Macaca fascicularis: one gene and its partner. The protein of the gene in region 1 interacts with the protein of each later gene in a biochemical or structural test. Links are inferred from orthologs where the notes say so. Each region holds a gene or a part of one and is shown on either strand. Other genes may lie near its edges.

What was found.
Region 2: the proteins of FLNC (region 1) and XIRP1 form a complex in vitro, tested with the Homo sapiens proteins (2 studies listed by BioGRID and IntAct, with this or other methods). The link is inferred for Macaca fascicularis from reciprocal best matches to the Homo sapiens genes FLNC and XIRP1.

Annotation. Positions count from the first base shown.
Region 1 is NC_088377.1:170,303,840-170,307,418, reverse strand, and holds part of FLNC (filamin-C), read right to left. Parts: intron 3,398-3,579; coding exon 3,280-3,397; intron 3,190-3,279; coding exon 2,927-3,189; intron 2,536-2,926; coding exon 1,938-2,535; intron 1,229-1,937; coding exon 1,055-1,228; intron 933-1,054; coding exon 770-932; intron 490-769; coding exon 329-489; intron 1-328.
Region 2 is NC_088376.1:101,263,850-101,268,098, forward strand, and holds the start of XIRP1 (xin actin-binding repeat-containing protein 1), read right to left. Parts: upstream 2,808-4,249; 5' UTR 2,657-2,807; intron 1-2,656. UniProt on the Homo sapiens protein: Protects actin filaments from depolymerization. Required for correct cardiac intercalated disk ultrastructure via maintenance of cell-cell adhesion stability, and as a result maintains cardiac organ morphology, conductance and heart beat rhythm.

The DNA of each region.
Region 1 (3,579 bases):
TGGCCTGAGCCACCAAGAGGAGTGGGCGGTGTCTGAGTTTCCAGACACACACTGAGCAGTGGACCTGCACAGCCGACGTCTCGAGCTCCAGGCAAGCGGCTAGGAGGCCAGAGCGTGTTCCTGGGATTGACTGGGGGGCTGTCGCATCAACCCTCACTGCCTGCCTCCTCCACGTCCTCCCTCTGGCTGGGCTCCAGCCCCGACCTGCTCTCAGCTATCCTCTCTATGAATGTTCTCATCTAACTTCCTTCCAGTTTCCCCCTTGTGGGGTGAGCATCCTGCATCCTCCCTTGTCTTCCCTGAGGCCCCGACCACTCTCTCTGCACACCTGGGATGGGCCGCCCCCCGAAGGTGATGTTGACGTCATAGTCTCCAGGGGTGAAGGGGATGTACTCCACAGTGCAGCTACCATCCTTGTTGTCCTTGCAGGACATCTTGGCTTCCGAGGGACCCTCGATGGCTAGGCCAAGGCCCCCGGTGCCGGCTCCCCTGAGAGATGACACCCCCCCATCAGCTTCATAAGACCAGTGAGTGAAGATGAGGGAGTAGCTGAATGGGGGGACAGGGAGGAAAGAGGGCAGGCCGCTGGGGACCCAGCTGAGGAGAAATGAGCCAGGGGCTGATCTGGAGTCCTGTCGGGGGGTCTGCTCCTGCCTCACCCCAGAGAGAGGATGGGGTGGGGCTGAGGTACAGACAGAGGGACGAGCAAGGAGGGCCAGGGGCTGGGAAAGGGTGGTCACAGGTTTAGGCTAGCAAATGGGGAGGATACCTGGTCTCCACAGTGAAGCGGTTGGCCTTGTTAACCAAGCCACCCTCCAGGCCTGGCCCGAAGGCCCGGACGCGGGTGGGATCACAGCCCTCGGTGACACCCACTCGGAAGGGGCTCTTCGGCACAGCGACCTCATCATACAGGACCTCCACCAAATGCACGCCTGGAAGCCAGCCACAGGGGCATCAATCAGGGAGTGTGCACCCCCACCACCCCTCCTGCCCCAAGCGCAATATCATCAGAGGCCGGCCCTGCCCGCTCGCCCGGCCCTCCACCGGCCCTCACCCTCCTCGTAGGCGGTGTACTGTACTCGGTAGGTGCCGTCCCCATTGTCTGTCACATAAGTGTCTGTCTTGGCCCCCGAGGGGTTGAGCACGCGAGCCGTCACGTGGTTGCCGCCTGTGGCTGTTAAGGATCTTGCATCCACAGTGAACTCAGTGGTCACCTCCCGCAGGACACCTGGAGCCCAGGGGTGGCATGCTCAGCAGGGGTGGGGGCAGCCTTCACACAGATGCTCCCTCTCCTCTCCCCCTCCTCTCCCTCTCCTCTCCTTCTCCTCTTCCCCTCCTCCCCCCTCCTCTCCCACTCCCCAACTCCCAGGCTGCTCCTCTGATCAGAGGCTGGGCCCCCTACCCTCCCCTGCACCTCCGTGAGCTCCAGCCTCTGCCTTCACTCCCTTCTCCATGTAGTGACATTCTCTGTTCACGTGAGTCACCCACCAGGCTGTGGGCCTGGGTCTTGCATCCCTCTGCCGTGCCCCATGCCTGGCCAGGGTCTGGCCCCGGCAGATGGCCCATTCCCACTTACTGTCTCCTGACTCTTGTCATCCTCTACCCCAGAGCTTTCCCCCGCCCCCCTCCAGAGCAGAGTCGTAGCTTTTTGCATCAGAGTACCCCTTAAGCACATGAAACAAGAGACCTCTCCAGGAAAACGCCCAGAGGCAGGTGCAGTTTTGCCACAAGAGCGGAGGCCAGTCTCCACTCCCAGTCTGCCCCTCCACTCCTTCTCTGGGGCTTCTGGGCCAGTAGGGACTTTAGGGCTGCCCTGAGAGCCCTCCCTTCATGCCAGGTGGCTCCCCCAGCCCTCAGCTCTGCTTCCCTCCCTCCCACTGACTATCCGGCTCCTGCACCTGCCACTTGACCTCACTTGGCTCCTCCTGACCACTCACCATGTGGCTCAACACCAGGCCCTGAGACCTTGACGCCACTGGTATCGACCGCAGGCTGCACATGGACGCGGGTGGGGAATTTGGGCACCGGATGCCCGCCATATTTGATGGTAATGGTGTAGGTGCCGGGGAAGGCAGGGCTGTAGGTGATGTGGTAGGTGCCATCCGCATTATTGTGAATCAGCACCTCGGCCTTGACCCCGGCATCCGACAGGATCTCAATGGTCAGCTCTGCCTCGCCTGCCTCTGAGCAGTCCACAGTGAAGGTGGCTGCCTCACCGGCCTTGCCGCGCTCCAGGCCCGGCCCACTGGCCCGCACCTTGCTTGGGTCAAACACGGGCCGGATGGTAGCTTTGAAGGGCGAGCCAGGGATGTGGGCTTCAGCAAACAGGATGTTGATGGTGTACTCGCCAGGCTCCGTGGGCAGGTAGCTGACAGCACATGAGCCATCACCATTGTCCTGGCACTCGATCTTGGCCTCGCAGGGGCCCTCCACGGTCAGCCCCAGGCCACCTGTGCCAGCCCCCTTGGTGTCGATGGAGAATGGTGCGGGGGTGCCTACCAGTCCACCCTTGAGACCGGGGCCGTAAGCACAGACCTAGGGGAAGAGGCAGGTGTGTGGGTTCCCTGCACCCGGCCTTCCCATCCCAGCCTTCATGGCCCCCACCCAACTCATCACCTCCAACTGTGGCTGCTATTGCAGACTGAGTGCTTATAACAATTCCAGGTGATGACATGGAGGCAGAGAGATGAAGCAATTTCCCCAGGTAGTGGACCTGGGATTCAAGCCCAGGTCTGACTCCAAGGCCAGGCTCTTAATAGCTAAGTTGTCTCCAAGGAAGGTGGTGGGGTGGGGCTGGTCTCAGTCCCACGTTCTTGGCTGTGCCCACTCCAGGCACATAAGTCCCTCTGGCCTCTGCCCCCTATGACTCTTCCAGCTTCCCGACAAGTCCCCAGCTCCCAGCCCCAACCAGCTCCTATCTCCTCACCTTGGAGGGATCAGGGGGCAGGACACCCTCCACAGCAAAGGGGCTGCCAGGCACTGGATGACCATCGTAGGTGATGTCCACCTTGTAGGGCCCCTCCTCCGGGGGCATGTAGCGCACAGCCTGGGCTTCCGCTCCGCCGCCTGGCTCCATCTTGCAGGGGATGGGCCGGCGAGAGGGCGAAGTCATCCGCACATCCAGTTGGCCTTGACCGCCAGCCCCTCGTGTGTTCACAGAGAATGCTTGTTCCTGTCCCACAGCCACCTCTGCGTGGAGGACAAGTGACACCATGAGGAGACTCCGGTCCACCCCACCCGAACACCCCTCACTCCCAGGGTGGCTCTTGCCCCACTTACTGCTATTGAGGCCCTGAACTTTGATTTTGCTGAGGTCCAGCGGGGGTGCCACATTCACCACAAAGGGGCTCTTGGGGACAGGGTCCCCACCGTAGGTCACTGTCACTGCCATGTTGCCCTGTTGGGTACAATGGTAGGTCAGAACTGGGTATAAGGCACGGTCCTGCAACATCCTGGTGGTGAATATGGGCTCTGAAGCTCAGATCCACCACGAGAGTGAGGGCAGGAGGCAGCGAAGGCATGGAGGATCCAGAACTGGTCCCGTGGGACTGGAGGAGGGAGACCCAGAGCTCCGACAGT
Region 2 (4,249 bases), on another chromosome or scaffold:
GCAACCATGGGACAACTGGACATGACACTCTTTCCTTTAGCTCCATAAGGGATGCCTAACTGGACAGGCCCCATCCTCGCCTTCCTTTGTTAAAAATCAGTGTTGCCCTAGAAGACTCCCAGGAGAGTGGCCTGGGGGAATCCTGACTTTTGGAGTCCCAGCCTTGGAGGGACAGGTCTCTAACCTGGTGACTGATTTCCCATGGAGACGAGATTCCTTTGCAGAACACCAGAGGGCAGACTTGCCATGTTGACCTGGAGTGCTGCCTAACTTTTATCTCTTGGCTGTCAACGCACTCCAACCTTTCCCAGGCCCAAGGAGGCAAGCGGAGGCCAACAGCCCATGCTAGGGCAGAAGCAGTTGAGGATCAGGGCTGGGAAGCTGCTCATCAGATATCTCGTGGTTAGGCCAGATCCAAATTCTGAATCTCTGGTCAGGGTTTTCTGCACTATACTCCAAGACTGAGAATGTCTGAGCTAGGGGGATCTCAAAGGTCTTTTAGCACAACCATTTATAAATAAAGACGAGGGAACTTAGGCCCAGAGTCAGATCTTGGTGAATAAGTGGAAGGCAGTGCTGGCTTGGGGTCCCTAGACTCTATTTAGGGCATGGGCCCAAGACATAAGAGGGTAGGAGGTGTAAAGCTTTCTTATTGGCCATAGGACCAGTCTATTCCCCAGCAGGCACCCCTCGGAGGATATGAGGGCGACACCTACCAGGGAGAGGACCATGGGACCAGGGTCCTTTCTGCAGAGACAGCTCTGCCCCTTGCCCCTGGAGACCGCTCTCTAAGCAAGCAAGCACAGCTTCAGGGGCTCGGACTCAGGGGGGCTTCAGGCTAAGCCCTACCCCTCCCTGGCTCCACCCCCACCCCTCAATGGCCTCCCACCCCTCAAGCCCTTCTCTGGTCTCTGTCCATGTATGTCTTATCTGTCTTGTGACAGGTGTACTAACAGTCCCCAGAGGCCAGTAGGGAAAGAATGGGAAGCATGTGCCCCCTCCCGCTGCCCCTGACCCACTGCTCTGCACCACACAGGGTGCTAAATATAGCTGATGTTCTGGCCTCAGAACAGCAGCCCTGGGCTCAGAGGGAGGCTGAGGCCCAGCCAGTGGGGATCCTCAGTGCCCTTGGCTCACCTCGTCTCCTTCGTTACCCTGGGCTCCCCTATCCTGCCTCCTGGGCTGGTTTCAGGCCCCTGGGCTGCAGTCCAACCAGGTGCTAGAACCTGGACACCTTCCCTGGCCAAAGGAGTCTGCGGTGGAGGGAAGTACTGGCAGCAAGTGGGGCAGGACTTCCTCCCTATGGCTACCTCAGAAGGAGGAGAGAGGAAATCGAGACCTCCTGACCCCATGCCCACCCTGGCATGTCCACCAAAGACATCAGAACCTTTGGGGAGTGTGAGCTCTGAAACCTGTAACCTGAGTCTCATCAAAGCTCTGCGTGGTTTTCTTTCATTTCTGAGCTCCAACGAGGATCCCCTGCCCAAGGCAAACCTGTGCCTGTCTCCACCTCCACTCCATCCTGTCACCAGCAGGGTGACCTGAGCAGATGGCATGGGCAGACCATCAGCTTCACCCCACCCCCACCCCCAGGAATTTCCAGAATCTCTGCTAAGGCCACAGGCAGTTATTATCATGGAGTCCAGGGATGTCAGGCCTAAGGACCCTCAGAGATCACTCAATCTAAACCCCTTATTGTTCAAATAGGGAAACAGAGGGCCAAAGAGGGGAAAGGAGCTGTCCAAGGAGGCTCAGCAAGGCAGTAGCAAAGCCTGAAGCATGCCTCCTGACTCCTGGCCTTCTCACCACCATCCTTGCCTGGCTTGAGACTCCTGGGGCAAGTGTAGAGTCAGGACAGAATTCATAACTGGGACCAGACTTAGGTGGGGTGACCCCAAGAACTGTCCTAAACCTTGGTCTCCTAGGGCTGGGCCAACCTCTCAGGATGGTCCCACTGCTGTCCTCAGGTTACCTCCTCCTCGGCCCAGCTGGCTCCATATGTCTTTACATCTGGGCAAATTCAGATCCGGTCTCCCTCCCCTGAGCGCCCCAGATCTGCCCTGGGGGCTTTCCCACTGGGCAAGACCATGGGCAGAGTCCAAATTCCACCCCAGGTTTTAGGCTATGATATGTAGGGAGCTGGGCTCCGGCCAGCCCCTGGGAGCTATGCCTGGGCCAGATATGCCGAGAGTGTCATCCACAGCAACTAGGCATGGGGCTTGTTCTAGCAATGCACACTCAGGCCTACCTACAGCCCCTGCTCCCGCCTCTCTTCTGTTCCTCCTTCCTCCAGACCCTGGGCCTGCCTGAGGCTTCCCTGGGAGGAAGCCCCGAAGCCTGAGGCATTCCATACCTGTATTTTAAAAATCACAACTCCAGGCCTTACTGGATCATGCCAGCCTGGCAGGACCCTGTCCTTTCTGCTAGCTTCAGGCCTGTGGCAGCCACTCTGAGAGCTCCCATGGGGCTCACACTGTCTTTACCTCCTTTGTGGGTTCTTTATATCTGAGACTTCCACTCACCTCCTCCCATGCATGCCCCTCAATCTCCTTCCCCCACTCAGAGCCACCCCTAATACGTCCATTCCAGGAGGGCAGGGGATCCCAGCTGTGAACGCCAGCCCTGCCGTGGAAGGACAGAGAGGTAGGTTACTCACCGAGGGTCTCTCTTGGCTGATGGGGTGTTTGGGGTCTGTAGCAGCTGTGGTCTCAGGGTTCGTCGTTCCTCTCGAGGTTCTTGTTCAAATTGGTTCTGTTCTGCTGGCTCCAACAGACACCTTCTTGCTGCCCTGGCTCCGGGTCTCTGTCCCCTGCCAGCCCCAGCAGCTGCCTTTATCTTGCTGGCTAGTGGGTGGGCCGTGGTGGGGGCGGGCGGGAGAGGCTATGTTCAGAGTATTAAGTGGTTTGGTTATTTTTAGGTCTTGTGGAAGTCACTCTTCCATCCTGGGGAATCAATTACATGTCCTTCGGGCTGGGGAGGGGAAACAGAGGGGGAGAAGCTTCATTCATCCAGAGTCTGATCTGGGGATTGGGGTCAGTGACTCAGCTGGGTTGTGGGGTTGGGGGTGTCCCAGACTATTTTGAGAGAGTGAATAAGAAGGGGCATCTGACACCTTGGACAGCTTGCCCCCGTCTTGTGAGCCTCCATCACTCTACTCTGGTCCTGCCTCTGACTCTTCCTGACGTGTCTCCACCCACTGTGCCAGGAGACTGGAGGTCTCCTGAGGGCAGGCTGGGCCTCTCCTCCTCTGTTCTGAGCCTGAATACCTCTGAGTGTGAAGCTCAGCTCTTTTTCTTCCCCATTCCCTTCTGCACTAAAGAATTCCTTCTTTCTTATCCATTCTTCCCCGTGCCCCACAGCACAGGTCAACACGGCCCTGATAAAGCTGGATTTGGGGGGAAGACATCTGAATGACAAGGCACAGCTCTTCACTGGGCCGAGATTGGCCAGGTCCAGCTCCTCCTTTGCGCCACCATACCCGGTTAATTTTTGTATTTTTAGTAGAGATGGGGTTTTACCATGTTGGCCAGGCTGGTCTTGAACTGCCGACCTCAGGTGATCTGCCTGCCTCGGCCTCCCAATGAATGAATTCCACAGCAGGACTCCGTGGTTTTCATCCCAGATTAACTGAGTCCTTTCTCTCTTCTCGACTCTTCCCTCTGACTCAGGGCCCAGGCTTTCTGGGAACGGAGGGGAGGGGAAGGGCGGCATGCAGGGAGCTGACCGTGGGGTTATTTCTGACCCTGGAGTCATCAGCTTCCCAGTCACAGATGGAGTGGCAGCGGGGAGGGGGGTCACACCTGCCTCCTCCTTTGCTTACCAGGGTCTGAGGGGCCCAGCAGGCCCAAGAGATCCTGGCAGTCAGACCAGTGTGGTGAAGGATATCAGGGGACCATCCACAGAAAACTTGAAAGAGGTGTTTCATCCTAGGTGGGCCTGGCCCAGGCTCCATGCCTGTGGGTATGCAGGTGCATTCTGTGGCCTGGCACATGAGGTCTTCCTTCTGACTCCCCAAATGCCCTCTGGTACCAGGGGATGATGCCAGACATTGCTCACTTTTTCCATGTAGTCAACGTCAGTCCTGCAGTGGCAGCTGGAACGGGGGCGAGGACATCTGGGAACCCCTCTTCCTGGTCTCCCTCCCTCTTGTCTCTTCCCCTGCTCTTTTCTAGCCCTCTACCTGTCCCGCAGGCTCCTGGCTCTCTCCAGGAAGGGCAGGGAGACCAATGTACCAGTGTTTCAGGGAAGG